Ovis aries: one gene and its partners. The protein of the gene in region 5 interacts with the protein of the main gene of each other region in a pairwise test. Links are inferred from orthologs where the notes say so. Each region holds a gene or a part of one and is shown on either strand. Other genes may lie near its edges.

What was found.
Region 1: the proteins of DISC1 (region 5) and IMMT interact in binary tests that used the Homo sapiens proteins (3 or more experiments, as listed by UniProt). The link is inferred for Ovis aries from reciprocal best matches to the Homo sapiens genes DISC1 and IMMT.
Region 2: the proteins of DISC1 (region 5) and PAFAH1B1 interact in a two-hybrid assay, tested with the Homo sapiens proteins (2 studies listed by BioGRID and IntAct). The link is inferred for Ovis aries from reciprocal best matches to the Homo sapiens genes DISC1 and PAFAH1B1.
Region 3: the proteins of DISC1 (region 5) and NEFM interact in a two-hybrid assay, tested with the Homo sapiens proteins (2 studies listed by BioGRID and IntAct). The link is inferred for Ovis aries from reciprocal best matches to the Homo sapiens genes DISC1 and NEFM.
Region 4: the proteins of DISC1 (region 5) and ROGDI interact in a two-hybrid assay, tested with the Homo sapiens proteins (2 studies listed by BioGRID and IntAct). The link is inferred for Ovis aries from reciprocal best matches to the Homo sapiens genes DISC1 and ROGDI.
Region 6: the proteins of DISC1 (region 5) and RNF40 interact in binary tests that used the Homo sapiens proteins (3 or more experiments, as listed by UniProt). The link is inferred for Ovis aries from reciprocal best matches to the Homo sapiens genes DISC1 and RNF40.
Region 7: the proteins of DISC1 (region 5) and KALRN interact in a two-hybrid assay, tested with the Homo sapiens proteins (2 studies listed by BioGRID and IntAct). The link is inferred for Ovis aries from reciprocal best matches to the Homo sapiens genes DISC1 and KALRN.

The regions. Positions count from the first base shown.
Region 1 is NC_056056.1:58,091,813-58,096,350, forward strand, and holds the start of IMMT (MICOS complex subunit MIC60), read right to left. Parts: upstream 2,972-4,538; coding exon 2,927-2,971; intron 1-2,926. UniProt on the Homo sapiens protein: Component of the MICOS complex, a large protein complex of the mitochondrial inner membrane that plays crucial roles in the maintenance of crista junctions, inner membrane architecture, and formation of contact sites to the outer membrane.
Region 2 is NC_056064.1:23,452,206-23,456,078, reverse strand, and holds part of PAFAH1B1 (platelet-activating factor acetylhydrolase IB subunit beta), read right to left. Parts: intron 3,209-3,873; coding exon 3,106-3,208; intron 2,390-3,105; coding exon 2,161-2,389; intron 988-2,160; coding exon 886-987; intron 1-885. UniProt on the Homo sapiens protein: Regulatory subunit (beta subunit) of the cytosolic type I platelet-activating factor (PAF) acetylhydrolase (PAF-AH (I)), an enzyme that catalyzes the hydrolyze of the acetyl group at the sn-2 position of PAF and its analogs and participates in PAF inactivation.
Region 3 is NC_056055.1:40,765,874-40,770,514, reverse strand, and holds the start of NEFM (neurofilament medium polypeptide), read left to right. Parts: upstream 1-1,609; 5' UTR 1,610-1,642; coding exon 1,643-2,722; intron 2,723-2,857; exon of another isoform or gene 2,858-3,033; intron 3,034-3,461; coding exon 3,462-3,586; intron 3,587-4,641. UniProt on the Homo sapiens protein: Neurofilaments usually contain three intermediate filament proteins: NEFL, NEFM, and NEFH which are involved in the maintenance of neuronal caliber.
Region 4 is NC_056077.1:4,450,277-4,454,683, forward strand, and holds the start of ROGDI (protein rogdi homolog), read right to left. Parts: upstream 3,138-4,407; 5' UTR 3,124-3,137; coding exon 3,079-3,123; intron 3,000-3,078; coding exon 2,928-2,999; intron 2,450-2,927; exon of another isoform or gene 2,396-2,449; coding exon of another isoform or gene 2,342-2,395; intron 2,231-2,341; coding exon 2,148-2,230; intron 1,880-2,147; coding exon 1,825-1,879; intron 1,122-1,824; coding exon 1,041-1,121; intron 397-1,040; coding exon 301-396; intron 1-300.
Region 5 is NC_056078.1:3,975,589-3,979,461, reverse strand, and holds part of DISC1 (disrupted in schizophrenia 1 protein), read right to left. Parts: intron 2,243-3,873; coding exon 2,016-2,242; intron 1-2,015. UniProt on the Homo sapiens protein: Involved in the regulation of multiple aspects of embryonic and adult neurogenesis. Required for neural progenitor proliferation in the ventrical/subventrical zone during embryonic brain development and in the adult dentate gyrus of the hippocampus.
Region 6 is NC_056077.1:27,406,664-27,410,536, reverse strand, and holds part of RNF40 (E3 ubiquitin-protein ligase BRE1B), read right to left. Parts: coding exon 3,816-3,873; intron 3,730-3,815; coding exon 3,302-3,729; intron 3,216-3,301; coding exon 3,098-3,215; intron 2,973-3,097; coding exon 2,823-2,972; intron 2,635-2,822; coding exon 2,422-2,634; intron 2,342-2,421; coding exon 2,216-2,341; intron 1,125-2,215; coding exon 984-1,124; intron 891-983; coding exon 789-890; intron 1-788.
Region 7 is NC_056054.1:189,285,524-189,289,998, reverse strand, and holds the start of KALRN (kalirin), read right to left. Parts: upstream 2,899-4,475; 5' UTR 2,567-2,898; coding exon 2,494-2,566; intron 1-2,493. UniProt on the Homo sapiens protein: Promotes the exchange of GDP by GTP. Activates specific Rho GTPase family members, thereby inducing various signaling mechanisms that regulate neuronal shape, growth, and plasticity, through their effects on the actin cytoskeleton.

The DNA of each region.
Region 1 (4,538 bases), on a different chromosome or scaffold from region 5:
TAAAAAGCAGAGACATTACTTTGTCAACAAAGGTCCATCTAGTCAAGGCTATGGTATTTCCAGTGGTCATGTATGGATGTGAGAGTTGGACTATAAAGGAAGCTGAGCACCAAAGAACTGATGCTTTTGAACTGTGGTGTTGGAAAAGACTCTTGAGAGTCCCTTGGACTGCAAGGAGACCCAACCAGTCCATCTTAAAGGAGATCAGTCCTGGGTGTTCTGATGTTGAAGGACTGATGTTGAAGTTGAAACTCCAATACTTTGGCCACCTGATGCAAAGAGCTGACTCATTGGAAAAGACCCTGATGCTGGGAAAGATTGAAGGCAGGAGAAGGGGACGACAGAGGATGAGATGGTTGGATGGCATCACCGACTCAATGGACAACGGTTTGGGTGGACTCCGGGAATTGGTAATGGACAGGGAGGCCTGGCATGCTGCAGTGGTTCATGGGGTCGCAAAGAGTCAGACACGACTAAGCAACTGAACTGAACTGAACATCCTCTTATGGAAATTAAGAAAAATTCACAGAACACATTAATCTTTCATTCAAACATGTCACACTTGTGACATGTTCATTTACTGAGTATCTATTAGGAGCTAGGGACTATTATGAGTACTGATATAAATACAGTCCCTTTGAGGAGCTTCCATTTGAATGTGGAAAATACATAATTAATACACAGTATGTCAGGAAGTATAAAAGCTAAAAGTAAAACCAAGTAGGGTAAGGGTAGGTTCCAGAGTGATGCAAAGGAGAGAGTGATCAGAGGTGTCTTAGGGAAGGCCTCTCTAAAAGAAAAGTAATATCTAAGAAAATATCTGAATGGAGTGAGCTAAGCAAAGATGTGTGGGAGGACTTCAGGGCAAACAGCAAATGAAAAGGCAATCAGAAGAACAGAATGAGGCAGAGTAAAAAAAAAAAAGATATGCAAAGAGCCAGATCATGAGGAGCCCTGTGGATAGGTAATGAGTTTAGACTTTATTGTGATACGATGGGATGTCACTGGAGGGCATGGCATGGTCCAGTCCATGTGCTTTTTTAAAGGCCTTTGTTAACAACAAGGTAAAGAACTGACCCTAGGGTAGACTGAGGAGACAGTTCAGTGACAATCATGCTGTAACCTTTGGGCAGAATAAGGAAGAGTGGGCCTGAAAGGAGGGCCCCAAAGATACACCTCTACAGTTTTGCCCTGAAAGATTGCTCCGCTTCCTTCATACTCCCAGGCCCACTTGGCTTTTGGTAGCCCAGATTCTAAGATGCCTCCCATGATCTCTGTCCCCAGTGGTTAAGCCCATGATTAGACCTGTACAGGCAAAAGGGATTTTACAGATATAAGGGGGTTTCTAATCAGTTGACCTGATTTATCAAAAGGGATTTATCCAGGTGGGTTTGCCCTAATCACATAAGCCTTTTAAACCTAGGTCTGGAAATCAGAAACAGGGAAGAGATATTAAAGTCTGAGAGACAAGCTCATGGTAGCCTGCAAGAAAGTAAACATCTATGTTATAAACTGCTTCTGAGAATCTTGTGGCAAAGAATTTCAGGCTGCCCCCAGGTAGGTGAGGTGGGAGCTAGCAAGAAAACAGGGACTTCAGCCCTACAGCTGCAGGGACTGAATCCTGCTAACGAACTGAAGGAGCTTAGAAGAGGACCCTGAGCTCAAAAGAGAACCACAGCAGGGACACACTTTGCACCCCTGTATGACAGCAAGCAGATAACGGTAACCATTCACCTCTAGAAACAATAAGGTAATAAATGGGTGCTGTTTGAGGCTGCTCCATCTGTGCTACCTGAAATGTACACACAGCAACAGAAAACTAATACACACTCCACTTTCCTACAGAAGAGCCTGCTTCTCTCACCCTGGAAACGAAAGGGGAGATGGAAGATAAGCAAACTTGGAGGAAATGAAAAAAATTGACTTTTCTAACCCACTGAGGCCAGGGACTTTGCTCAATTGCTCGAGTCACAGAACCTGTTTTGTAAATTCCACATTTTGCCAAAATACAAATTCTCTTTCAATTGTGAGCAATGGAAGTAGGTTTACTATTTTAAATTTCAGTAAATTACTTTGATGTGTGTGCTTAGTCGGTCAGTCCTGTCCGACTCTTTGCGACCCCATGGACTGTAGCCTGCCAGGCTTCTCTGTCCATGACAGTCTGCAGGCAATACTGGGGTGGATTGCCATTTCCTTCTCCAAAATTACTATGATAATTATGCAGAAATAAAGGTAACTACTTGGACGTCTGCCAAAGTTGTCCTAGCACCTAGAGACAGAGATCCTCAGGCTAATCTCAGAAACGTGCACAAGGTCAGGGGCTTAACCTTCCTCGAGTTCTAGAAGCTCGAGCTCTTACTCTGTTTTTGTTCAGAGTAAGAATAGCTCAAGAGGCGTTCTCAGCTACTTAAAGAAAGGCAGTCCTTCCTGGATAATTACAACCTTGACCCCTAAAACGCGGTCTCTAGCAGTCCAGGCACCTCCTTAAGGTGCAACAAGCCAAGAATATGCGCGTCCCTCTGGGAACTGTAGTTTCCCCCCCGTCGACCTTCAACCACTGGATCCGCGAAACCTCTCACGCGCCCAACCGGCGACCCGGGCGCCAGCAGCCTCGATTGGTCCTAGACTGAGGCAGCGAGGGGCTGATTGGATGGCACGTCCCCAAGGCCGTGCCTCCCGTCCTACACCCGCCTCCCCGCCACCTTCTCTTCTCCACGCCCCATCCCGCTTCAGCAATAACCCTCCAGTCATTCCCGTCCACCGAACTCCCGAATTAACTGCCTCACGGGCCCACCCAGGACTCTCGCGATAAGGGCGGTCCGGAGACACGCCTCTGTCCTGGGGCCTAGGCAAAGCCAATGCCTCCCTTATTTTCCGCTGGTCAGTTCACCCACCATGCGCTGTCTCCCGGCGCCCCCGTCCTCACCTGGGCGGTGGATGTCACGCCGGATAACTGACAGGCTCGCAGCATCTCTACTAGGCTGACGCCGCTGCGGGTGTAACTGGGAGCTAGGGCGGCGGCGCGTGTAGGGGACACGGTGCGTCCGTGCGTGCCTGCGTCCGTGCCGCCTCTCCGCGCCGGGCGTACCGGAAGGGCAGCAAACGCCACTGCGCATGCGCAGGCCCGTCTTGCTCCTGTCCCGGCCATTTGAAGAGGGTGGGCCCTTTCCAAGCGGAAAGGGCGATTTCCCCTTCCGGGTCGCGCTGAGACGTCGGCTCTGTTACCCGAAGTATAGATTGTTAGGTAAGCGGGAGGGCTGGCGGTGGATCTGAGACTCAGGCTTTGGTCTGCCCAGGAACCAGGCAGGTGTGACTCGTCGAGAATTCAAGCAAGAAATTATCTCAGCCATTTCTGTCAGCTGAATATTTCGTAGAAAGAAAGGGATTTGCCGAAAGTTACGTAAACAATGGTGTGGTCTCTGCGCGTTCCTTTTGTTTCGCAGCCCTTCAGGGAGTCATCCTGCTTAAGGGAGATTCAGTTCAGTTCAGCTCAGCCTGTCAGTCGTGTCAAGCTCTTTGCAACTCCATGGACTGCAACACTCCAGGCTTCCATGTCCTTCACCGACTCAGGGAGCTTGCTCAAACTCATGTCCATTGAGTCGGTGATGTCATCCAACCATCTCATCCTCTCTCGTCCCCTTCTCCTACCCTCAATCTTTCGCAGCATCAGGGTATTTTCCAGTGACTCAGCTCTTCGCATCAAGTGGCCAAAGTATTGGAGTTTCAGCTTCAACATCAGTCCTTCCATTGAACACCTGGGACTGATCTTCTTTGGGATGGACTGGCTGTATCTCCTTGCAGTCCAAGGGACTCTGAAGAGTCTTCTCCAACGCCACAGTTCAAAAGCATCAGTTCTTCAGCGCTCAGCTTTCTTTATAGTCCAACTCTCACATCCATACCTGACCACAGGAAAAACCATAGCCTTGACTAGACGACCTTCGATGAAAAAGTAATGTTTGCTTTTTAATATGCTGTCTAGGTTGGTCATACTTTCCTTCCAAGGAGTAAGCCTCTTTTAATTTCATGGCTGCAGTCACCATCTGCAGTGATTTTGGAGCCCCCAAAAATAAAGTCAGCCACTGTTTCCCCATCTATTTGCCATGAAGTGATGGGACCAGATGCCATAATCTTAGTTTTCTGAATGTTGCACTTTAAGCCAACTTTTTCACTCTCCTCTTTCACTTTATCAAGAGGCTCTTTAGTTCTTCGCTTTCTGCCATAAGGGTGGTGTCATCTGCATATCTGAGGTTATTGACATTTCTCCCAGCAATCTTGATTCTGGCTTGTGTTTCTTCCAGCCCAGCGTTTCTCGTGATGTACTCTGCATATAAGCTAAATAAGCAGGGTGACAATATATATCCTTGACATACTCTTTTTTCCTATTTGGAACCAGTCTGTTCTATGTCCAGTTACAACTTTTGCTTCCTGACCTGAATACAGGTTTCTCAAGAGGCAGGTCAGGTGGTCTGGTATTCCCATCTCTTTCAGAATTTTCTACAGTTTATTGTGATCCACTCAGTCAAAGGCTTTGGCATAGT
Region 2 (3,873 bases), on a different chromosome or scaffold from region 5:
TTAAATGCAGACATGTTTTCAAACAGCAAGATAGTATATTTGAACTCAGCTCAGAATACTAAGAGGAAAGTTTAATTTTTTAATCAGTTCTTCTTCTTTTTAAAATATACTACATTATCTATTTTTTTTATTAGAAATCTAACATTCTAAGAATGCCAATCAGTTCCTGATGATACTTCCATACATGTCTACCATATCCCATAGACAAGACAGTTGCTTCAAGATACGATTAACACCTAAGATTAACACTTCAAAACAAACATGCATGCCAAATTATACAAGCTGCCACTGGATTAATGTCCATGGGCCCCCTTAGAACTCCTGAAGGCAAACAAGAAAGTCCATAACATCTTCTTATAATTTATATATCCTCATACTAAAAGCTGGATGAGATAGGCTCCTAAATGAAATAAAGATTTCCAAGTCATAGAGCTGCTGCTGCTGCTAAGTAATATTATTCATTTCTGAATGCTTAAAATAACCAAATAAAACTGGAACATGAGAATAGATAGTAAGTTAAAGGGATTCATTTTAAAAGTAAATATAATGAGATCAAGAAGCACAGTTTCAAAAAATATACATGAGTCTGTAATATTTGTTTTCTACATATTTCACAGGTGATATTACGTAATTTTAGAGATACAATGGCTAGAATCTCCCTCCTAGCACTGACTGGCTTTGCAGATCCACTGTAAAATGTAATAGTCTATAGAAATAACCTCCATATCACTGTAACCATGCTCTTAACCAAAAAGTATCTTTATAAAGAAGTTATTTTAGAACATCAAGTAATTCAGATTTACTAGGAAACCACAAGGCACCTGACCCTAAAAGATATGCACAGAGTAAAAATGCGAAAGCGGCAGTGAAATTATGCAAACTCACCAGGGTCATAAGGCACATGCCAGTACTGACATCCCACATCTTGATAGTCTTGTCCCTGGATCCAGACAGTAAGAATGGCCCAGGTTTGCCACTTTTTTTAGTCTACAGAAAACATAAAAATCAAATTTCCTGGGCAAGAAGTTAGGTGACTTAAATGACAACTACCCAACAATGATCTGTATTTCTAATTTTGTAAAAATGCATTGTTTGACAAAAAACGATATGTATTTTAGGCATACCACTGTTCTGAGCTATGTATACAAATGGTTACTACAATCAAGCTAATTAACACAATTATCACCTCACATTACCACATTTGTGTGTGTTCTGTGAAAAGAACACTAACGATGTACCCTCTCAGCAAATTTCAAGTATACAATACGGTACTGTTAACTACAGTCACCGTGCTGTACATTAGATATCCAGGACTTATTCATCCAAGGTCACAAAGAGTTGGATATGACTGTTACTACCCCAGCTACAATGAATCTATGATGTGGTAAGTAACCACCACCAGGTGGCAGTAAAAAAAAAAAAACCCAACAAACCTGAAAATGCAATGAGCCAGCCAACTAGGAAGAGATTACCAAAACAGCTTCATTTTGAAAAATAATTGGTTGGGGGTAGGTGAGGGTGAGAGTGTCTTCATTTATTAAAATTTAAAAAAAAAAAAACACAATAGGAATGTCACTATAAAAAAGAATTTTGGCTCATACAATATTTACAGAAGTAATTATTCTGTAATTTTACAAGTATTAATTACAAAGAATGAAATCATGAGGAACACAAATGATCAAGACTATCAGAGGCCTCCATATGAAATATTCTTCACTTAAAACAAATGCTATTCTTGTTTTTAGTTTTTGGCCACATGGCATGTGGGATCTCAGTTCCCTGATCAGGAAGCTGAGTGTTTTAACCACTGGACCACCACTGAAGTCCTGAGAAAAGCTACTCTCCTAGAAGACGACTTTAACTTCTCCCATAAGTTTTATTTTGTATTGGTATACTCTTAAAACAGGGACAATAATAATTAATTTAATGACCACTTCACTTACCCTAACCCTAGCACACATCAAGGGTCAACTGACAGCAACAATAACCACTGGTTAAAAAATATAAACACATCTATCTGCAAGTTGGAAAGAATTTCAAGACTCAGAATTCTGGATGTAGATTTTATAATGGCATGAAACAGAGACTCGGGGAAGGTCATTAAAGGTTCTCAAATAGTAACAGCCACAAAATCATGAAATAACACAAATCATACACTACCTCAGATCCTGTTGCTTCAGAGATGGAAGAATATGAGCTTTCGGGAGCCCAGGAAATGCATTCTACCACATGCTCATGTTCTCGAAGCTCAGCCTTGCATTCCTTTGTTGCTACGACCCACACACGCACAGTCTGGTCATTGGAACAGCTGGCTATCAGAGTGCCGTCTTGATTTGGCCGCACCATACGTACCCATTCTCTGTGTCCTGTGAATGTCTTCACACAGTAGCTATAAAAATACATAATAATTTACACTGTGAACAGCAATCACTGGGGCCCTTCCCAGAAGCGATACAAGACTAGCTATGCACTGGAACGAAGAGAATTGGCATCATATGCAAGTCAACAGAATACACGTACATTCCTGGTTAATAAAAGAGGGAGACAGGCTGGAAAGTCAAACATCAGTTAAAATAAGCTGATGGAAATATCATTAAAGAGCTAACCAAATCAAAATCTAGAAGGAAAAAAATAGAGAGAAATATAATCTTTTAACTAAGCACACACAGTAAACCTAACAAAAATATTTCTAGCCATGTTGGGGAAAAGGCATGCTCTTACTAATCTGGACAAAACCAGTAGGTTAAGGCTTTATTATAACAGTCATGTAATTCTAAGCACAACCAAATTAAGCCTAATTGGGCATACCTGCAAAAATGTTATTTACATTTTAATTCAACTCAGAGAGATCACCTAAAAGAAGACCACAGAGAAAATAAGCCATTACATAGAAAATGGCTCTCAAGGATATAGAGTTTCTTCCATAATTTCTCTGTTCCTTTTGGGTAGACATTTAAAGATTAAAACTTAAGTTTTAAAATGTAACTGTCATGGTAATCATTCTGGGTTACAACCAAATTTACAAGAACAATCAGAACACAGTTTTGGATTTTTTGTTGAATATTATTTCTTTAAGCTGATGCCTTTTCAACTAAATCTACTTACCCAGTTTGCACTTCCCACATTTTTATAGTTTTATCCCTTGAGGCAGACACTATATGATCTCCATTGGGCATGATGGCTACTGAAGAAACATTGTGGTCATGGCCTAAAACACAAAACACAGTTACTATGTTAAACAATGTATCACCAAGAGCAATTAAACCTTAATTTACCATGAGATTTCATCAGGGATTTCAAGTATCACAGCTACTTTAAATACAAGGGAGTTCATATAAATTTAATAAGAAACTTGGATTTACACAAAAACATAAGGGACTGTTAAGGAATTAGTAACTAATAAAACAATTCACAATGAAATAAGTAGCCAGCTCAATTTACATTTCAACCTGCACAACTATTTTAACAAGTTATTAACTGAAGACCTATTAATGCCATACGGTGTTCATTTCTGCAAATACGTCCCAGCCAATAATGTGTTAAAATCACAGGTAATCGGTACCATCAGCATTTGAATATATTAACACATCGGATGTTTTTGAGCACTAAAAAGCAAAACAAAACAAAAATTTCCATGGTTGCTATTCTAAGATATAAAATAGAAATACGATTTACAGAGATGAATAGAATGGATCAGAAAAATGGGCATTTGGCTCTATGTAGAAACTAGTGGTTGAAAGCTTTTTGTGTTGATGTGCACAGGAGCAAAAAAAATAAAATATATTATTCATAATGCTAGTTAGCTATCCTATGGCAAAAAAGCCCCAGAAAATTCTCTTAAGTATCACATCATTTAAAGGAATATACAATGAT
Region 3 (4,641 bases), on a different chromosome or scaffold from region 5:
AAGTCTGTGTAGGTTTCTTATTTAAGTAAACATGTTTAAAAATATAGATAATCTATAGCAAATCAGTCACTAAAATCTAAATGTAAGGAAAAAAATCTGGTTTTATTCAAAGTTGTGGTGAATCCGTTTGGGAACTTTCCAATTAATTTGAAATTAACTCAGTGCTTTTCAGTCATGGCAGTTAGATACAGGGACTACTGAACAGAAAGATGACAAAGCAATTGCTTCTGTTCAAACTTATCATAAACTATATTTCCCTGGACTTTTCATCTCAACAGATTTCAAATTCCCCTTTCCAAAAAGTACTTGACCTTCAAATTTCAAGTTCTGTATGTCTTGATTTCCTGCTTCCATCATGTTAGAAAACTCAAACTTGGCTACAAGTATATTATCTCTGTTACCTGATTTTAAAGAATTTTGTTTTCAAATCTGCAGTCTGTTCTGTGCCAACCCTGCATTGCAGAGAGATCTTTACGTGCGATCCCAGTTTGGCTCCTTCAAACAGAGTCACTACTAACTGGCTTTTAACCGTATTTACTACTATAGAAAGCAGGGAGGAAACCTCCGCCAACCTAACCAGACTAGCTGGGCGACAAACCCCCAGGGCGGCTGAATCTTCCAGCAAGCCGTGCTGGGCGCTGTCCTTGGTGCTGCCGGCGCCATAGCGAACACAAGCGCCTTACCTTCTGCCCCTGCGGAAGTTGCGGACGTCCCCCAAACGTTAAGCAGGATGCAGCGCCTTATCCCACTTTTATAACAAATAAATACCCCAGCCCATCCGCTTTGTCCCCTTCCCGAAGACTTCAGGCTGACCGTTCCTCAAAGTCTTTTTGTTTTTCTCTTCTAGGCCCAACTCGGGGCCTGCGCTCATCTCGGGCTGCTTTAAGTCAGGGAGTGGGGGAAGGGGAGGGAGGCAAGGGGCGACGAGGCTGGAGGAGGGGCGGGAGGAAGGGGGAGGGGAGGAGGGAGAAGGTAGGGGGAAAGGCTGGGGGAAAAAAAGGTCCAGGAGGAAGGGGCTCTGAAAGAAGGGAGGAGTGAGTGGAGCTAAAGAAGGCTTAAAGTGGGAGGGCGAAGAGATGCCAAAAACAGGGGGAAGTGATTAAGCACAGAATATGGGTAAAGAAAAAAGTAAGAGAGAAAGGGCAAAAGAAGAGAAAAGTATGAGGATAAGAGTACAGAAGCGGGGAAAAAAAAAAAAAAAAAGGTGGCCAGGGGGGTCGTTAGAAAAGCTGCCCGAACGGCGGGAGAGTGACTAAACAAAGAAAGCACTTTGGGTGAATATTCCCACCGAGGGTGTAAAATGCAATCTGAAGGTGAAGAGAAATGGAGAGGGGGGCTCGGGGAAAGACAGGTGGTCTGGCACCGAAAGAAGTGCTGGGGGGAGGGGCCGGGCCCAAGGCAGTGAAGTCCAGGGTCCGATGCGGCGTGGGCCCACGTGGAGCGGGCGCTGAATCACTGCTGGGCTCTCTTCACCCCCCATCCTCCCCCTCCTCTCCCGGCCGGGTGCCCGCAGTCCCCGCCTTCTCGGCCGCCGCCTCCACGGGGCGGGGCCCTGGCCCGGGGACCAGCCGCCGCGGCTATAAATGGGCTGCGGCGAGGCCAGCAGAACGCTGTGACAGCCACACACCCCGAGGCCTCCAAGATGAGCTACACGTTGGACTCGCTGGGCAACCCGTCCGCCTACCGGCGGGTGACCGAAACCCGCTCGAGCTTCAGCCGCATCAGCGGCTCCCCGTCCAGCGGCTTCCGCTCGCAGTCGTGGTCCCGCGGCTCGCCCAGCACCGTGTCCTCCTCCTACAAGCGCAGCGCGCTGGCCCCGCGCCTCACCTACAGCTCCGCCATGCTCAGCTCGGCCGAGAGCAGCCTCGACTTCAGCCAGTCCTCGTCTCTGCTTAACGGCGGTTCTGGGCCGGGCGGCGACTACAAGCTGTCCCGCTCCAACGAGAAGGAGCAGCTGCAGGGGCTGAACGACCGCTTCGCGGGCTACATCGAGAAGGTCCACTACCTGGAGCAGCAAAACAAGGAGATCGAGGCGGAGATCCAGGCGCTGCGGCAGAAGCAGGCCTCGCACGCCCAGCTGGGCGACGCGTACGACCAGGAAATCCGCGAGCTACGCGCCACCCTGGAGATGGTGAACCACGAGAAGGCTCAGGTACAGCTGGACTCGGACCACCTGGAAGAGGACATCCACCGGCTCAAGGAGCGCTTCGAGGAGGAGGCACGGCTGCGCGACGACACCGAGGCGGCCATCCGCGCGCTGCGCAAAGATATCGAGGAGTCGTCGCTGGTCAAGGTGGAGCTGGACAAGAAGGTGCAGTCGCTGCAGGATGAGGTGGCCTTCCTGCGGAGCAATCACGAGGAGGAGGTGGCCGACCTGCTGGCCCAGATCCAAGCGTCACACATCACCGTGGAGCGCAAAGACTACCTGAAGACGGACATCTCGACGGCGCTGAAAGAGATCCGCTCCCAGCTCGAGTGTCACTCCGACCAGAACATGCACCAGGCCGAAGAGTGGTTTAAGTGCCGCTACGCCAAGCTCACCGAGGCGGCCGAGCAGAACAAGGAAGCCATCCGCTCCGCCAAGGAAGAGATCGCCGAGTACCGGCGCCAGCTGCAGTCCAAGAGCATCGAGCTCGAGTCAGTGCGCGGCACCAAGGAGTCCCTGGAGCGGCAGCTCAGCGACATCGAGGAGCGCCACAACCACGACCTTAGCAGCTACCAGGTAGGAACCGCGGCTGCGCGGCCAGCCTGCGCCAGCGCCAGCGCCGCGCGCCCCCGACACTCAGGCCCGCGCCCCGCCGAGCTCTCCGCCGCGCTCCCTAGCGGCCGCTAGCCAGTGAGCGCGCGCGCGCTCGCCGCAGAGCCAAGTTGGAAGCTCAAAGCTTCCTCGCCCCTTCGCGCCCCCTCCGCGCGCTCCCTCCGGACTCCTCCCCCGCACACCATCCACAGCTCTAAGAGCCTCGGCCTTTTCCAAAACGTGCTTCTTTTCCTCGGAAGTTCTAGTTTTGCACGCTTGCGAGTTTCAAGTAGGAGGTATACGTTGGGGTAGCTGATAAAGCAGCAACTTTAGGAGAGGCGTGAAGAAACTCATGTATTCTCAACTTTTCCAGCTGCGATCGGAAGAATTCCCAAAATTGATTTCAGCCCAAAGGGCTAAGATGGGAAGGGCCAGATCAGCCGTGGGGGGTTCCCCATGGATGTTTGTTTCCTGCTGAGACGTTCTAGATCCACTGGTCCTAGTGCGTGACATGCCCGGGAAACGTCTAATTGTCTTATTGATTCTGTTTGTTTCTCAGTTCCTTAGATTTTTATTTTAAGCGGGGACGGGATCTGGCATTAGTACCCGAAGTACGCCAAGCTGGAGGGAGTCGAGGGAGGGGAGGAAGCTGGAGGGGGTAGCAAGTGTTTTGCGAAAGAAGTGGCTGTTTGGAAGGATGATTTTGTGGCTGTGTCGGTTTCAGGATACCATCCAGCAGCTGGAAAATGAGCTTCGGGGCACAAAGTGGGAAATGGCTCGTCATCTGCGAGAATACCAGGATCTCCTCAACGTCAAGATGGCTCTGGATATTGAGATCGCCGCATACAGGTAGGGTGTTCACTGCGGACGTGGCCAAAGTACGAGCCGCACTGCAGAGGCCATGTTGGCAGAACCTTCACCACTTAAGTTAAAGCAAGTAGGTTGCAGGAATCTTAACTCAGTGCCTGGTTTTCTTCCTTAATTAATAAGTAGTTACTCTAAAATATTTCAACTTTTATGCAGCTTTAAAAAAAGTAAACAGTTAAAATAATGTATTTGAATAAAAAGTGTTTTGAGGGAGAGCGCCGATTAATTTCAGTGCTTATGCTTAACCTTTTTTATTTTAGTGAAAAATACTTTCCGAATATTTGAAATAAAAAGTTTTAATTTTTTTTAATATTTTTCTCTAGTGCTTTCAATTTTTCAACTTTATGATGTCAAGGACAAACACCAGGACATTTCATTTATCCCTTTCTTAGTCACAGTTTACTATTGCCATCATCTGGCTTAGAATAAATATGATTGGTAGAATATTTATTTTTTATTCAGACTTCTATTTCTAGATCTAGATAGATAGACATCCAGAGAAGGAGAAGATATATATATATATATATATATGTATATATATATATATATATATATAAAAACTGATGTCACCTTGCTGTTAAGTTCATAGGGGAAAATTCTTGGCTGAACAGTTTTATTTTCCCCATTTAAGTCATTCATATTACAAGAATAAATTGCACTCAACTCAGAGCCATCTAAGTTTTCAGGAAAGGTGAAAAATTACATAAAATAGACACTTTATGATTAAAATTACAGACTAATTTATATAATACATGTATATTATCACCCAGCTATGACATATATAGCCTGAATTCTGATGTATTCTAAATAGCTTTGTAAATTTTTTGAATATTATATTTGTTAAAAGATGTTTCATATACACCTGAAAGTCCAAATGCTTAAGAAGGTGACTTTAAGGCTTTTGGAGAGCCTCTGGGGAGCTTATCGGCATATTCATATTGCGCCAAATGAGGACTGAGGCAGAGCTGAGAGTTAGTAGTTAGGGGTAGGGAGTGGACTTTGGGTGTGGTTAGTTACTGCACCGAGTGATTGGCTTA
Region 4 (4,407 bases), on a different chromosome or scaffold from region 5:
GTTGTCATGATGGCAGGCATGACAGCTTATCCCCCTCTTTTATCAGGTGAGGGTGCTGAGGCACAGAATGGCTAAGTAAGGGATTTGAGGTGGCCTGGCTCATAGTGCAGGCCCTGGGATCAGAACCCACATCTGTTTATGGGGCCTGGGCTGTGAGCCATTCAACTGGCTGGAAGGACATGGCGTACACCGAGAGGTGAAGGGTTGACGTTCAGCTTCACCTGAGGGTGGGGGCAGAGCTTCCCAGGGGCCCGATCGGTGGTCAGGGAACTGGGCTCTCCCACTCCTGAGGTGGCTCACCTTGAGGACCTCTGCTCCCGTCCTGAACTGGTAGCTCTCATCTCGGTTGGCGAGGAGGTAAATGGCTTGGCTCACGTGGTTCCTGGCATCTTGGATCTAAAAGCAGGGCCCACGGAGCGGTCAGTGGGCTGGGCCTTGGCAGGGAAAGGTGCCAGCCTCAGAACACCCATGGTCTCTGGGGGCCCAGCCTAGGGATCCCCACCCCGAGGGGGCCTATCTATCTTCCTAGCAGGGGTGGGGTGGGTGCCGCCTGCTGGGCCTGGCTGATGCAGTGAGGCAGGCTCGGTCCCCAGTCCCTTGCAGCTCACTTTCCAAAGGAGGACAGAGGGTAACAGAGGAAAGGCACAAGGTAATAGACTGCTCAGCTTTCACAGGGAAACAAGGTGATTGGGGGGCGGGCGGCGGTGAGGGAAGGCAACTCTTAAGCTGAAGCTTGTGCAGTGGCAAAAGCTGGGGGGTGGACTCCAGGCAGAGGGACAAGCCCAAGCAAAGGCCGTGAAGTGGAAACAGCTGGTGGCCAGTGAGAGGGGAGAGGGAGGTGGCAGAAGCCAGGTCCAATTACAGGACAGGCTAGGAGACCAGGCACTGCCCACCCCAGCTGCACTGCTAGGAGACATCTTTGCAAGCCTGCTGCAGCCGCAAGGCCTCACAGCGGCCAGCCCTGGAGGCCTCAGCGCTGCAAGGGCCTGTTCCTGCCTGCCCTTGTGCCCTGGGCCCCAGCCGGGGAAGGGCCCAGTTACCTGCTGCAGTTTCCACTGCTTGTCCTCCCGGAAGGCAAAGTGCAGCAGCTGGTTGTTCCTGGGCATCTTCAGGTTCACGTCCTGCCAGGCAAGGGTGGGCTAAGCCGGGCAGAAGGATGCCCTCCTGCCGCCGGCCACTCTAAGCCCTTGAGCCAGGGGGCAGAAGCAGAGTGTATGTGGTGGCTCACGTCTGAGCCACTCCATGTGGGAGAGGGGGAAGAACATGGCCATTTGGGTGGGGGCAAACAGGGAACAGGAAATAGGAACTCAGGCCCAAAAGGAACCACAAAGAAATGAAAGGGAAAACAGCCGCGAAAGGGGAAGGTGGCTTCTGCTGGGAGGGAGGAGGTGTGTGGTTGTGGGCAGATGGAGAACATTTGCAGGTGCCAAGGGACGTAACGCCCACCCAAGGAGGAGGGGGACCTTCCCCCAGGCCTTGGCACCTGCTACAGGATCAAGTGCAGAAAGAGTTAAGATGTTGGTCTGGGGCCAGGCTAACCCTGGGGCCAGACTATAGGTAGTGCCGTGTGCAAAGCACCACCCACCCCCTCACTTGCTGTACCTCTCAAAGGAGTAACACACCAACCTCAGAAGCAGGTTACAGGGGTTGTTGTCATTTTCAAACAAGGAAATTGAGGCCCAGAGAGGTCAAGGATCCTGCCCAGAGTTACACAGCTAGTTGGGGGCAGAACTGAGCTAAAGCAGGAGGCCCCCCACCCACCCCTGACTCTTGCCCGTTGGCTGCTGTGGTGGCATGGGAAGGGGCCGGGGCAGGGGGACTCACCGCTTGGCTCAGCGCGTCTCCCTGCAGTGTCAGCACGCCCTTCACCTGGTCTGTGCTACAACACGTGGGGGTCAGAGCAGCACCTGCAGCTGCCCCCTCCCACCACCTGCAGCTGCCCCCTCCCACCACCCCAGCCTCTCCGCGGGCTGTCACAGGATAGTCCAGCCTGTCCCACTGCACATCCTCTGGCCGCTGGAGCTGGAATCAGTCCACAGGGCAGGGCTGTGGCCACGCCACCAGTCCTAGAGGGTATCCCCAAGGGTCCCTCCTCCCAGAAGTCCACCCCTCAACCCTACCACGGTTTCTACCCAGCCCAGGCTCACCCACAGCTGCCCAAGACAAAGTTTTCCTGCTTCGTGGGCCCCTCGGTGCCTGAGCCTGGTAGAGTGAAGCGGAGCGAGGCCTCCTGAGGGGCAAAGGAGAGTCGGGTAAACCAAGCTCACCTACTCCAGCCGAGCCTTTGCTCCATAAGCCCCGCTCCCAGGGCCCCTCCCCCACGGCCAATTTCAGGTCCTACCTGAACCCATACCGGCTCCTTCCACATTCCCTGGGGGCCTACTGTGTGTCCCATACAGGATAGAGGACCCAGAGACACCCTCCCCGTTTGGTTGACGAGCTTGGAAGTGGGGAGCAAAGTCTGAGAAGACAGTAGTCATGGCAACCGGTAATTCCAGCCTTATCAGGCACCGCCTGGGCATTTTTTTGTATTTCCATTGGCTGTTTTTTTTAAATCTTCACAACAGCCCTGAGGGCGGTACTGCTATCTCCTTTTCGCAAAGGGGAGGTCCAGAGAGATCGAGGACTTGGCTGAGGTCAAAATGCTGGGTCCTTCAGATAGGAGATTAAACGTCAATTTCAAAGGGTAGCTTCCCCGACTCCGGGGCTCAATCCAGGCCCGCAGCCCTGGCAGGACGGCTTGTGGAACTGGGTAATTATCTGCTGGCGCCCCGGGTTAGACGCTTTTTAAGTCCTAGGACTGAGTCCGGGGCCTGAGGGCAGGGCCTGGTCTGAACACCGCGCGTCGGGTACGCAGCAGCCGCGGGAGGCCGAGGGGGAAGTCGCGCTGGGGGAGAGGGGGCGCCCGCACAGGTCCTCGAGGTTACCTTGAGGATGTCCTGCAGTTGCCTCAGCACGGCGTGCACCTCGTCGTGTAACAGCCAGCGGAACTCCTCCTCCTGTGGGGATAGGCCCGCTGTCAGCCGCCCCGGCCCGCGGCCGCCTCCCGCCTGGCCCGGCCCGGCCCGCGCGCCTCACCAGCACCGCCCGCTCCGCCGCCGTCGCTGCCATCACGGTCGCCATCGCCGTCGCTCGCTGCCCAGCGACCGTCGCGGGTGCTCGGTCAGCTGGCGGCGCCCGGGCCCACCCTCGCCGCCGATTGGCTGCGCGGGCGCCCGCCACGCCCCCAGCTCGCAACCCCGAGAGCGCCGGGGACCTGCCCACGCCAGCTCGCGCCGAACACCGCGGCGCTGCGAGCTCTGGCTTCAGCATCCGCAGCGGTTCACCCGCCAGGGCGCGGCGCTCGCTCGTCCCGCCCCTCCTCGGCTCTGATAGGACGCCCTGCACTAGGCGCGCTCGGCGATTGGCCGGCGGTATGGCTCGCTCTCGCCGCACCCGGCTACTGGCCACCGGGTCAGCTGGTTCCCGCCGGGTCTCGTCTCCTAGCTCAGTTTGTCCCGGAGGGACAACCCCCCCTTCTCTCCCGAGTGGTGCTCGGTGTCAGGGCGCAGACCACCCTACCAAGGTCACAGTTGTGTTACCAAGAAACGTTTTTTATTTTGCTTGCAGTAGCTTTTTGTTAATTGCACAAAATCATGTTTTTGCCATTTAAACATTATCACACAATCCTATTCTGAAAGACAAATGTTCATTAAAAACAAAGCAAAAATAAAAATTCACAACCTTAATTACCTAGAAGATTTGTCATTTAAAGGTTCAAAGGAAAAAAAAGGGAGGGGTGGTGGAAGAGGGGCTTTCTTACAAGCTTTTCACAAGTGTCACATTTTCTCCTTAAGAGGGAAGGATCTCAAAAAACAAAGGTGAAATAGCTTAAACAAAAATATTCATAAAAAGGAACTTTACAGAATTGTCAACAATATTAAGACAACATTGACTAACCAGTTTCATTACAGCATCTTCCCCAACCCCCACCCCCCAGTGTCCCGCTATAGGACTAGAACAGGCTTTGTGTTCAGACAGAAAAGAATTCAAAATCCCAGTGAAATTAACAACTGTGTCAAAAACCACAGGCATCTCCCTTGCCCTCCCCATCCCCATGTTTTCTGAGATCCCCTATCCTGGGTTCTGATCAGTGGAAAAAGGGCCAAAGCTGCAAGGGGGAGGGGCACACACCAGCGTGGCCACCTCAAATTGTGTTTATCACTGTATATGCACTACAAACGCTGAACTTCCGCACAGCCTGACTTTGGAGAATCCAACCCATGCAGGCGGAGAGAACACTGACATCCTTTAGGCGACTTCTCCTTGTTCTCATGCCACGTTCCAAGCCCCTGTGGTCCCCTATCCAAGGAGAAATGCTGATTCACCTCCAAGGGTCAGCGAGCTCTGGTAACGTCAAGCCTAGAT
Region 5 (3,873 bases):
TGTGTGCTTTGTATATGCATGTGTGTGCACATGTGTAAGTGTGTGTATATGTATGTGTGTGCATGCATGTGTGTGCTTGTGTGTGCATGTGTGTGCGCATGTGTGTGCGTGTGTGTGTGTGTGTGTGTGTGTGTGTGTAGAAAGACTTCCACAGGAGGGATATGGGAAGCAGGAGTTGGAAAGGTCCCCAGAGGCCAAGGCTGTAGAGTGGGGGTGAAGGAGAAAGGGCACAGGCAGGCTTGATGGTCAGCTTCCTTTGACTAAAATCTGGCAACAACACACGCCCTCCCCTTCCCTGTGGATGGAGCCCAGGGTTAAAGCTCTGCAGGGAAATATCAGGGCTGGGACGGGGAGGGGAGGACATGGTGAGCATCTTCCTGGACGAGCATCCCAGCTGATACCACCGAGTGTGGCATGTGTAAGAGGGCAGATACTTGCTAAACAGTCTAAGACACATTTGGACAGCAGTTAGAAGGCTTCTGAAGATGGAAATCCCTGTGATGAGAAGGACAGGCACCATTATATGACAGTAAAGGGGCGTGCTGCCACCCAGGCACCATCATATGACCCTTATATTGATACATTTTAACCCAGTTCATCCGAGGAACAGCCCCCCGATAATAAGTGGTTCCAACTAATATATGGATGAGTAGATAGCAAGAGTCCCTATTCTCAGCCGCTACAGGTGGCAAGGTTTTCTTGAGTGTTTCCTGCAGCGTAATTGAGCAGCACATTCATTCCCCTCGTTGCTGCACCCGCTGCACCCTCAAGCCTCACCACCAGCTCGACTTCTGTCTAATAGGAGTAGGGGCAGGTTCCATCTTTGGCCAGAATAAGGTAATGACCTCCCAGAAGGTCAGAGGTCCACACGTATTTCTTGTGTCTTCCTCAACAGAGAGCACAGGGAAGGTTCTCCCTCCACAAGCGGGTAAGAAACTAGGCTTTGATGCAACAAACACGAATTTTAGTATCAGTTTTGTCTCTTATCAATTGAGACTTTGGCAAACTATTTGATCTTCCTAAGCTCTCTTATCCTCATCTGTGAAATGGATATAATAATAGACGCCACTCATCGCGTAAAGCTTAGCACAGCGCCTGACACACAGTAAGACTCAATAAATGCTGGTTGTCATGAATGATCATCTCTTCTTCCTGGTCACTGATTGAGTCTCCCCTCTTAGTAGCTCATTCCCTCCTTTGCCTCCAGGCTTCCCTGGCGGCTCTGATGATAAAGAGTCTGCCTGCCATGCAGGAGACCCAGGTTCGATCCCTGAGTCAGGAAGATTCCCCTGGAGAAGGAAATGGCAGCCCACTCCAGTATTCTAGCAAGGAGAATTCCATGGACAGAGGAGTCTGGTGCGCTACAGTCCATGGGTCGCAACGAGTCGGACACAACTGAGCGACTAACACTTTCTAACATTCCCCTTGTCTCCAGACGATTGTTGGCATCAAACTCTCCAACCGATCAAACTCCAACAGATCCCAAAGAGAGAGAAGGCGCCCGGGGGGCGTTAGGAAATGGGGAAGGTGCTGAGCAGAATGGAGAGAAAGAGGCATTTAGCAGGCTGTGTGCATCCTGCTCAGTCGCGTCTGACTCTTTGCAACCGCTCCTCTGTCCATGGGATTCTCCAGGCAAAAATACTGGAGTGGGTTGCCATGGCCTCCTCCAGGGGATCTTCCTGACCCCGGGATCGATTCGTATATGCCTGTGTCTCCTGCAGTGCAGACGGGTTCTTTACCCACTGAACCACCTAGGGAGCCCAATAGGCTGGGTAGCCACGGTGTAGAGCGTCCTGCAGTGGACAGGGCTGCCCCCACAAAGAAGGGCCTTGACCCTCAAAATGCCGGGAGTACTTTCCCTTGAAAATACACAGCACTGCTTGGAAAATACTGAGTTGACGGAAAAGTTCCTTGGCCAACCCAACGTTTACATATGTAGGACCGCAGACTAAATCAACCCCATAAACAGATCGACAAGGCGAGAGATCCAAAATCACTTAGGAAATCACCAGTACCTCTGGATGGCTTCAGGTGGCTCTGCACGGAGGGGAATCTGCTCGGCCAAGGCCAGGGTGTCCTGCAAGGTCTTGGTGACCTCCTGCAGCTCGCCCAGGGACAACCCTCCCACAAGGTCGCAGCCCTGCCACGGGAGAAGCCGCTCCTGCTCCTCAATTTCCCGTCTCAGCTGTTGATCTTTTGCTTCCAGAACAGACATCCTGGCTTGGAGGGTCTCAATTTCTTTCTGCAGAGAATGGAGAGAGCAGGTTTTGTAAATTAACCCCATTCATGGTCGACTACACTGCTGAGAACTCTCTCTTTACAGCAGAGTTCGCCACCTGCATGAGGGCCGTGAAGCTCCCCTTGAAGGCGGGCAGATTTTTGGAGGTTTGCTGAACTGGAAAAATCATGTCAGCTTTGTATTTCTGATTAGCTGGCATAAGGAAAAAGCTTCCCTCCCAAGCATTAAATAACTGCGGGTGGTGAGCCAAGAATTAGACTTGGAAGAATCCAGCAAATATGTAAACCACTTACTTATTTCAGGTGATAGAGCCAGAACAGAGTGCAACAAACTTCAGGGACTTGAGAGGCCAGCAAAGCAGCTAACACGACCAAAAAAGGAAAAGCAAACAAGCCTTGGCTGGTCTGCCCCCAAGCATGCAGATACAGCATGCAGAGAAAGACTAGAAGCCATAGTTTCCTAAGTCTAAGGATTGAAAGAACAGTGAGATGCCACAGATAGGGTTATGCAGCCTAAGGTTCATAAAAATATTAAATAAATTTAATTTCCACTAATATGACAACCCAAATCCCAAGAATTGAGTATCATCCAATCTTGAGGTCAATGAACCAAACAAGCAGCAGGTAATTGAATGCCCGCTGTGCACACAGCGTTATGGCAGATAATCATCTCAGTGCCCGTAGCATCCTGAATCTCCAATGAGACTCTTTTAATCAACATACGCCCATGGTTCCTGCGCTGGCCGCCAGCTGATAAGAGCACAGCTCTAATACTGGCTGTCTCCCCATCTCACCCATGTCCTCGCAACCCCAAGATGCCGACCACCCTACCTGATCTACCTGCTGACCCCTCCTCCAGTAGGGGCGGGAAGAGACACAGGAGGAGGTATTGAAGATCCACGGCTAAGACATGCTGAGAAGACAACAGCGTGTATCCCAGTGGTCCAAGATCATGGTGTCACTGACAGGGTCTCCCACCACACCTCCCTACTTCCTGCCTTTGAATTCCCATCCCTATTCTTTCTGTTTTTGTTTGTTTGGGTTTTTTCCACTGTAGTAAAATACAAGTAATAGAAAACTTACCATCTTAACCATCCATCTCCAGGATTCTTTTCATCCTGCCAAACTGAACTCTGACCCCCCTCTCCCCCTGCATTCAGCCTTGGAAGCCATCTTTCTACTTTATTTCTCTGTGACTCTGACTCCTCCGGGTGTCTACGTGGAATCATACAGTATTTGTCCTTTCATGGCTGGCTCATTTCACTTAGAATAATGTCCTCAGGGTCCATCCATGCTGTAGTGTGTGTCGGAATTTTCTTCCTTTTAAAGGCTGAATTTAAATGCTTCATTGTATTTATATACCACATTTTGTTTACCCAGGCATCCCCGGTAGCTAAGCTGGTAAAGAATCTGCCTGCAACGCAGGAGACCCTGGTTCAATTCCTGGGTCGAGAAGATCCCCTGGAGAAGGGATAGGCTACTCACTCGAGTATTCTGATCTGGAGAATTCCATTGACAGAGGAGCCTGGCAGGCCACAGTCCATGGGGTTGCAAAGAGTCAGACAGGACTGAGCAATGTGCACTTTGCTTATCCATTCATCTGTTGATAGGCACTTGGGTTGTTGCTTCCACCTT
Region 6 (3,873 bases), on a different chromosome or scaffold from region 5:
CCCCCAAAGCCTCTGTCTTCCACATCAGCCCTTCGCTTTGTCCTCCCAGACAGCCTCCCCAGAAGTCCCACGAGTAAGTACCTCATCCTCAATATACTTGAGACATAACTCTCCAGCCTAAAACCCTTGGATGTCTCCACACTGACTACTGAATAAACCAAGAATCTCAACCTGGCTCACTAACCTTCAGGATGGCCCCTCCCCACCCCCCAGGCTTGTGACTCATCAAAAGCCCAAGTTCTGTCCTCTTAGCTACCGCTGTCCAGCTGCGCCTCCAGCACGCCTCGCTCAACTAGGGGCCTCCACCTCCACCTCTCCGTTTGCTGGACCCTTTCATCTCCATCCCTCATGGCCAACCCTGACTCTCTTCCGTTTTCCCCTGGAGGCTATGCCTTCAGGAAGCTGGCTGACCGTGCCCCACTCCCCACTGTGCTCAGGGGCTATTAAGGGCTTCCCCTGACTGCCCCCAACCCCTCTGGCCTTTGCCATCACACTGCTCATCACTCAGAGGGAAGAATTACTTGGCTGCCTCCTCCACCAGACTGTCAGTTTCAAGAGACCCAAGGTCAGGTATAGGTCCCACTCCTCCCACACTCAGCACTCTACCTGGTATGGAGTATATGTGCACCACACTTGAGAGCTCTCTTGATTCTCCACAATGGATTCTGCCCAGGTTTTGCTATCCTACCTTATTTCTGGGTTCCCCGGACTACCCCCTGGAGCTCTCACCAACCCCCAATCTGAGATTTCCCAGGTTCACGGGGCAGAACTTAGCTCCACAGCCCTACCTTGTATTCCTTGATCTCCTCCTGGAGGATTTCATCAGCGTCTGCGTAAACTTCCACCTTCCTCTGCTTCTCCAGCTTGCGCCGCAGCCGGGAGATGTCCTCCTGGGGCAGGAGAGGGGGCAGTCTTGAGTGCAAGGGTCCTCAATCCAAACCTGCTGGCCCCGGCCCTGCCTCCACCCCCTGCCGACCACACACCTGAGCCCTCTTGAGGTTGAAGCTCTCCTTCTCCCGCGCGGCCCGGCTCTCGGCCAGGCAAGGTTGGATCTCTCGCAGCCGTGTCTGCACGTGCTCCAGCTGCACCTTCAGGTCCTCGGCCAGTTGCGCTGCTTCCACAGCCTGAGGTGGGTGGAATGGGGAGGAGGGGCACAGCTGGCCTGAGCCTGGGGAATCAAGTGTGTGGAGCCATGGCCCACAGAGGCTTATGTCAACTGTCCAGTGGTTCCTGCTCTTGGGAGTAGTCCCAATATGTTCACTGAAACCGATTGTCTCCTGACCCCACCAGCCTCACCTCCTCGTCTTCCTCATTCCCAGCACTTCTGGCTCCTGACCTGCATAACCCTCTCTCCTGTCTCTGAGCCTCCACAGGGTTCTCTGCTCCCCTCAACTCCGCCAACACACAGACTTTTTCTCTGAAGTTCCCTGAAGCCTCAGCTCAAATGTCACCTCCTGAGAGAGGCTCTCCTGTTTTCCTTTCATACAGTTCTATTTCCTTCATAAGACATGCTGTGAGTTTCCTGGCGGTTATGTGGTTAGAATTCCGGGCCTTCACTGCTGCCGTGCATTGCAGCCAAACAAAGACATGCTGTGATCTGAAACAGTGTTACTTAATCTGTGGGATTATCGGCTTGCTCTCTGCCCCTCCTAACTGGAAGCTCCCACTTCCAGCAGAGGTGATTTGTTCTTGTGATCTCCCCAGCACTCAGTGCAGTACTGGTACACAGCAAGAGCATGACTAATGCTGCTTAAACGAATGGACCAAACAGAGAGAAGTCCAGGAGAAGAAAAGAGATGAAAATCCATGTTAAGCCTTTACTATGACCTGGAGGAGTGATGTCATTCCTAACTCTGTTCCCCTCAGAAGAACAACTACCACGAGCTAGAGACATTTCTTAGGGTTAATACAACTATGTAACAGAGACAGCTAAACAGTGCAGTGGTCAGGATATGGGCTGTGGAGTCAAGGAGAGCTGGGCCCAAATTCCACTTCCACTCTTTCTTGAGCAAGTCAACTACCTCCCTAAACCTCAGCCTTCTCCCTCACAGAAAAGGAGATAACAATGAAAACTGCTGTAGGATTACTTTAAGGCGAAACATGACCCAACAGGGAAAGTCCTCAGCACAGGGTCTGGCACACATTAAGTGTCTGAGAGTGAACGGGGCTGTGTAGGGCAGCAGAGCCAGGCCCTGGCCCAGGTCATCTGCCTCACCTTCCTCTTGTTGAGCTCCAGGGCCTGGCTGCGCAGTGTCAGCTCCTTCTCCACACCCCCAAGGCTGCCCTGCAAGGCTCGCTCCTTTTCCTCCAGCTTCTGCACGGTCAGCAGCTGGGCATCCACCTGAGGACAGGAGTGGGGCCTCAGTGCTAGGGAACCCCTGCCTCTCCAGTCCCACCCTACCAAGCCTGGGGCAGCCCTACCTGGGACTTGAGGCCAAGAACCTGCTCGCCCAGCTCATCCTTCTCCTCCCGCAGCAGCTTATGAATCTGGTTGGCTTTGATCCGCTCTGACATCAGCTTGAAGTTGGCGTCGTCCTTTTCTCGCAGCTGCTGGAGCAGCCGCCCGTTTTGTTCCTGCATGTCCTCAAAGGCTTGGCCTGTCACATCCATCTCTGACAGCAGGGCCTCCTCCTCCTGCAGCAAGTGGGCAGGGGCAAGATGGAACGTGGGAGACGGACAAGATCAACTATGGGGAAACCGCAGGAAAACACGGCTGTACAAAGACCCCCAGAGTGGACCCAGGCCATGTGCTAGACCAGGAGGTTTAAGGAATGCCAACATTCAAAGCTAGGGGAGGGGTGGGGTGGGGTGGGGGGTCGCACCTGCTTGGTGGCACCCAACTTGCGCTGCAGGTGTTCGATCTGCTCCTCTGCCTGACGAATGCGCCGCAGGGCATCCTCGTCCGCAATCTTCTTGCTCTCCCTCCGATCCCTCTCCTCCAGCTCCCGGATGCGGCCCCGGAGTTCATCAACCTATAACCTCCAGGAGGGAGCTCTCTCATCACTGCTTCCTGCTAACCCAGGGCTCAACTCTGGTCACCGACTCCCTGCCCTGGGGCAGCCTTTTTGCACATCCCACAGACCCTACCTGTCCTCACCTCAGCCTTGGCCTTGCGTTCCGCTGCCATGAGCTGCACCTTATCCCGCTGTTCCTTGGGCGCAGACTTATACATGTCCAGCAGCAATTTCATCTCCTTCTGGCTTTCCTGGGCCTTCCTGGGGGAGGCACAGGAGGAAGGCTGGGTGAGTAGGGCTGGAGGTCACTGGGCAGGGGTGGGAGGGAGAAAAGAACAGGACCTCACTTGAGCTCTACTCGGAGACCTTTGAGAAGTTCTGATTCCTTTCTCTTGGCCTCTTCCACTTTGGCCTTCTCCCGATCAGCCCTTGAGAGAGCCGAGGCTACAGATGGGGGTCCCAGAACAGGCCCTTCTCGCTCCCGAAGCTCCCGCTTGGGTCTGGCCTCAGGTTCTCGGCCCCGGGAAGAGGGTCCCTGGGCCCCCGGGGTCAAGGCCTGCGTCTCTTCCTCGGAGGGCACCAGGTCTTCCTTCTTCGCTGACGAGGTAGTAAGGGCAGCGCCAGGCATGGAAGCCATCTCCTTCCTGGTGTCGGGGGCACCAACAGGGCCTGGCCCACCCTCTTCTTTCCCTGGGACTGGGGCACTGAGGCTGGAGTCCTCTGGGTGGCCCAGGCTGGGGATGGAGTGAGTAGAGCCACTGGCCTGGGCCCGGAGCTGCAAAGCAGAGAGAGAACAGGGCTGAGGTGAGACATGATCACTGGGGCCTAGCCATGGCCGTCCCCAGGCAGCCCGCTCCTCACCTTGGCAATTTCGGCCTGTACTTCGCGCAGTTTCCGCTTGTATCGCTGGGCATCCCCC
Region 7 (4,475 bases), on a different chromosome or scaffold from region 5:
CAAAATGACAGAATTAGTTGAAACATGCCTAATTAGAGGCAGAGTATGCCAGAGTTTTGACAAAGCAATTGCCAGTCTGGTCTTTATATGAGCAAAATTTTCCACCAGAAAGCAGGGGGTAACCCTGGCCCCAGGGACTTTGAAAATGTGTTTGAAGCTTTCTCAGTGGTTCGACTAAATAAATTTATAATCTGTCCAACCTACCAGGTGTAGAGCACTATATTCCATAAAGATTGGGGGATCAGAAAGGAGACAGTTAAGAAATATGGTCTTTTACAGGTTTAAGAATCCCCAGGCTAGAGATTGGAAGGGAGTAAGATCAGAAAGCAGAGCACAGAGGGCCACTCAGGTGGATGGTGGTCCTAGACCCTACCACAGATAGCCTGCCTCCCCTCTTACAACTTGTTACACATTGTCAGTCATTTCCAGCCTTATCTGTTGTAGATTTCACCCTTCTCTGATTTGAAGAGCACATCAAACCTAGCCCCCACCCCCACCATAAGGCTGCCCAAGAAGGAAGAAGAATACCCCCAGCAGGATTCCACAGGAGACAGTCCCCAGTCAGTTATTTACTCTGTGATTTTAGCCAGAGCTAGACAATGTAAGCCCCATGTTGTATTTTGAAAGGCCCTGGGAAAAGTAACACATTGGACCATTATAGGTCATTAACACCATTAACACTGTGTGAATTCATTTGTCAGAAATTAGCAAGCCTCCAGAAACTTGAGATCTGCTCCAAGTGCCTGGGAGGAGAACGGATAGGAACTACTGTTTGGATGGTAGAAAATGGGAAGGAGGAATGGATGCCAAAAGATAAAAGTAGGTCCAGAAAGGGAAGGTCGGAAAGCTCATACTTCAGGAGTTTTCCCCAGAACTAAGGAAAGGCAGACTTTTGTGCCAGATGAGAGACAGGAGTGGGGCCAGGTGGGGGAGTCAGGGAAGACGTCCTGGTGAATGTTTCCAGATAGGCCTTAACCCCCAGAACCTCTCTCCTAGACTATAATCTAAGGTTATAAACTCAGGTCAGGCACGTTTTTAGAATTCGTGCCTTGGTTCCTGGGCAGTGCATATGTGAGTGTAAGGGTGGGGGGAGGGGGACGGGCCAGGCGGCAGTGTATATTAGAAACCACGACTGGTTAAAAGGAACAAGGAGACAAGGCTGAGCCCTGAGAAGCAGGGTAGGATAACAGGGGCTCCTGTTTTCTCCAGGCTCTGGCATCAGCTCCTGTCCTCCACCTCTTTACTCTTCAGACCAACTAGAAAATGAACATATGGGTCGACCAACTCTTGACTTCTAAAGCCACAAGTCTCCCCAACAAAGCACCCCACCCCTTCCCCTCAGATGACCTCCAGGGCAGGGCAATGAGGTTAGGAAACAGATGGGTGTGCAGGGAGCCTCCAGAGCTAACCTGTTCCCTGACCCCACCAGTTCACGCGCTTTAACCCAATTTACAGAAAGAGGGGGTCCCCATAACTTACTGGACTCTTTGGGACAAAGATTCCAGACAAAATGGTTCCAGATATGGAAGATGGGGAGCTCTACCTACTGAGTTGGTGGAAGCCACAGGTAAAGAGGAGATGGAGAAACCCTGGTTATCAGAGAAACAGGGCCACAGGTGGTGGGAGAGGAGAGTGGTCGGCATCTGCTCTGGGAAAAGGGCTGTGCAGGCAAGGAACCTGCGACTCAGACCCAGGACTGGGTGGTGGCGGGGGCAAAGAACAACCGTGAAAGCAGGTCTGGCGGGGGAGCTCTACATACCACAGGCAAGCAAAGATTCAGTGGGTGTGTATGAGGGGGACGCTAACTCACACGTCCAGAATGAGTGATTTTTATCAAAAGCTCCTGCGTTCCCATCACTGAAGAAGAGGAGGACAAGGACGAGGTCCTAGGCGCCCACCGCCTTCCCAGCCAAGTCCGCCTCTTAAGTCTGAGACGCCCGGCTCCTCACACACATCAGGCTCCGCGGTCCACCGTCCGCCCCGCTCCTGACTGTCAGGCTGCAGCCTGCGCGACTCCCGGTCCTTCTTTGCATATCAGGGCCCGGGGCCCGTGGCCCGGAGCAGGGGTGCGGGCGCGGGGCGGCCAGAGCCAGGCTGACAGGCGCTAGGGGGAGGGGGAGCCGAGGGAGGGGCGGGGGCGCCGGGAGCGAGAGCGGCGCGCTGCAAAGTGATCCAACCTCGCCCCATCCCCGCGCTCGGGGAGAAGGCGGCCCACCGGGACCGCCTCCCGCCTCCCCACACAGACTCCCGCAAGTGGGGTGAACGCCGAGGGGCGCCAAGCTCCCAGCCCCCACCCCTCTCCAAAACGCAACCAGCACTGCCATAACAACAAGAATCTCGGCAACTCCGGCCCGGACGACGAGGGGGACAGCACCCCCCAACACGCCCGCCCCAGCAACAGTCTCGTTCCCCAAACTTGTCCGAGAAGCCGCGTCCAGGGCAGCAGCCCCCCACCCGCCCCACCCCCCCAAGCTCCCCAGCTGCCCAGCTTACCTGTCCGGAAAAAGGCGTCCACGTCCGAGTCGGCGGCTCCTCCTTCCTCCGCTGCCCCCTCCGGGGGGTTCATGACTGGGGGAGGGCGTCCACGGGCAGCCGGGGGGCGGCCAAGCCCGGGGCCGAGCGCTGCTCTGTGGGCGGCGGGCGCTGGGCTGCGGACACCGGGCTTCGAGGGCGGCCGGCCGGGGCGGCTGGGCTGGGGCAGAGGACGCCGAGGCTCCCTCAGGCGGAGGCGCACGGCGGGCTGGGGGCGCCTGCCGCGGGCTCCCCCATGGTCCCCCTTCCCCGGGGGGCGCTGGCCGCCTGCGGTCTGCCCGGGCCGGGGTCCGAGCTGCTTGGGCGCCCGCTCTCCCTCAGCAGCGGCAGCTGGCTCTCCTTCTCGCCCGTCCGCCTGTCTCTATTGTTCAGCCCTGCTCGGCTCTCCTCTTTATTTTTCCTCCTCCCTCCCACCCTCCCTGTCTCTCTACCTCCTCCCTCCCTCGCTCTATCGCCCGCACGCTCTCAGCCTCCCTCCCTCGCTCGCTCTCTGGCTCCCCCTCTGGCTCCCTCAGCCGCCGCCGCCTCGCAGCTCCTCCCCCGGCTCCCGCTCCTCAGTCGCGGCCAACAATGCCCGGGGCAGCGCCGAGCTCAACTGAAGCTTCGGCCCGGGCCGGGGTTCGCCGCGGGCCCCCGGCGGCGCGGACGCCTCCCTCCCCCCGCCTCCCCGCGCCGGCCTCTCCAAGGAGCCAAGCCCGGGCCCCGAGCTATTGTTCGCGGCTGTGCTAGGCCGGCTTCCTGAGCCCCGCAGGAAAAGCCCCGGCGAAGGAGGCGGCCGGGGAGGGGGCGGGGCCGCCGGGCGCGTCCTGGGCCGCCGGGCGCACGCCGGGCTTGCCGAGGGGGCTCGGACGCCTGAGCCCCGCGTGCTCAGCCTCGCCGCTAGCGCTGTTCCTACTCCCGCCCGGCGGCGGCCGCCTCCTCCACCCCACCCCGTTCTCAGGTGTATGAGCCGCGACCCCCCTCAAGCTGCCTGTCCCCCAAGATGGGCTGATCTGTCTCTAGAGGCTGGACTTTTCCCCGCTCCTTCTCGACAAGCTCCCTTCTGTCTCCTTGACCTCCTGAGCCTTTCGCATTTTCCTCACCAACTCTCCTTAGTTCCTCTGGTTTTTTGGTGTTTGGTTTTTTTTTTTTAAAGCTTTTCTCTTCCTTCCCCCCTCTTTTCAGCGCCCCTGTAAACACCTCTGCCTGTCTCGGTGACTCTTTGTCCAGTTCATTTCTCTCGCGATGTGCCCCTGCCTATCTTTCCCTCCGTGACCCTCTTCTGTCTCCCATTTGTCTCTGTCCTGCCTCGGTACTTGGCCAGTGTCTCAACGCTCCTCTTGGACAGCTGTCAAACTCCCTAATCCCCGAGGCCTTCTCTGTTTTGTTCTTCTGCCTCGTGTGAATGGAGAGATCCAGTTGGCCAGGAGAAAGGAGGTGTTACAGCAAGCTGAATTTCAATTAAAGTGGGGAGAGGGACAGGAGAGGAATGGGGAAGACCTCAAAAAAGAAAACAGATGCTGTATGGGGTAATTAATGCAGTGATTGTATTGTGCCAATTGGTTTTTAAGCAATAATTAAACAATAATTAGCCAGTATTCTGTTTATAGTCCTAGTGACTGCAAAGCTTACAAAACAGAGGCTCTTTAGACCTGAGTACTTAATGTGGTGTGTTGGAGGCTGTTGTTGCTACCTCATCCAGACAGATGGAGAGGCTGTGGCCTGACCTAATGTGTTAAAAACACACCTAATAGGAAAATCAGATAATGTAGTGTAAAGCTGATGGACTGCTACCCACCAGCCAGAATCTCCCAGATCTGTCATCACTGGTAACCTACTTGGTTCCATCTCTTTCCAGGTAAAGCACCTGGAACCTCTCCAGATCTACAACCAGCTAACTCTTAACAGCAAATAGATTTAAATGCGTTTTTAGTGAACCCTTTCTGGTTCCCTGTACTCCTTAC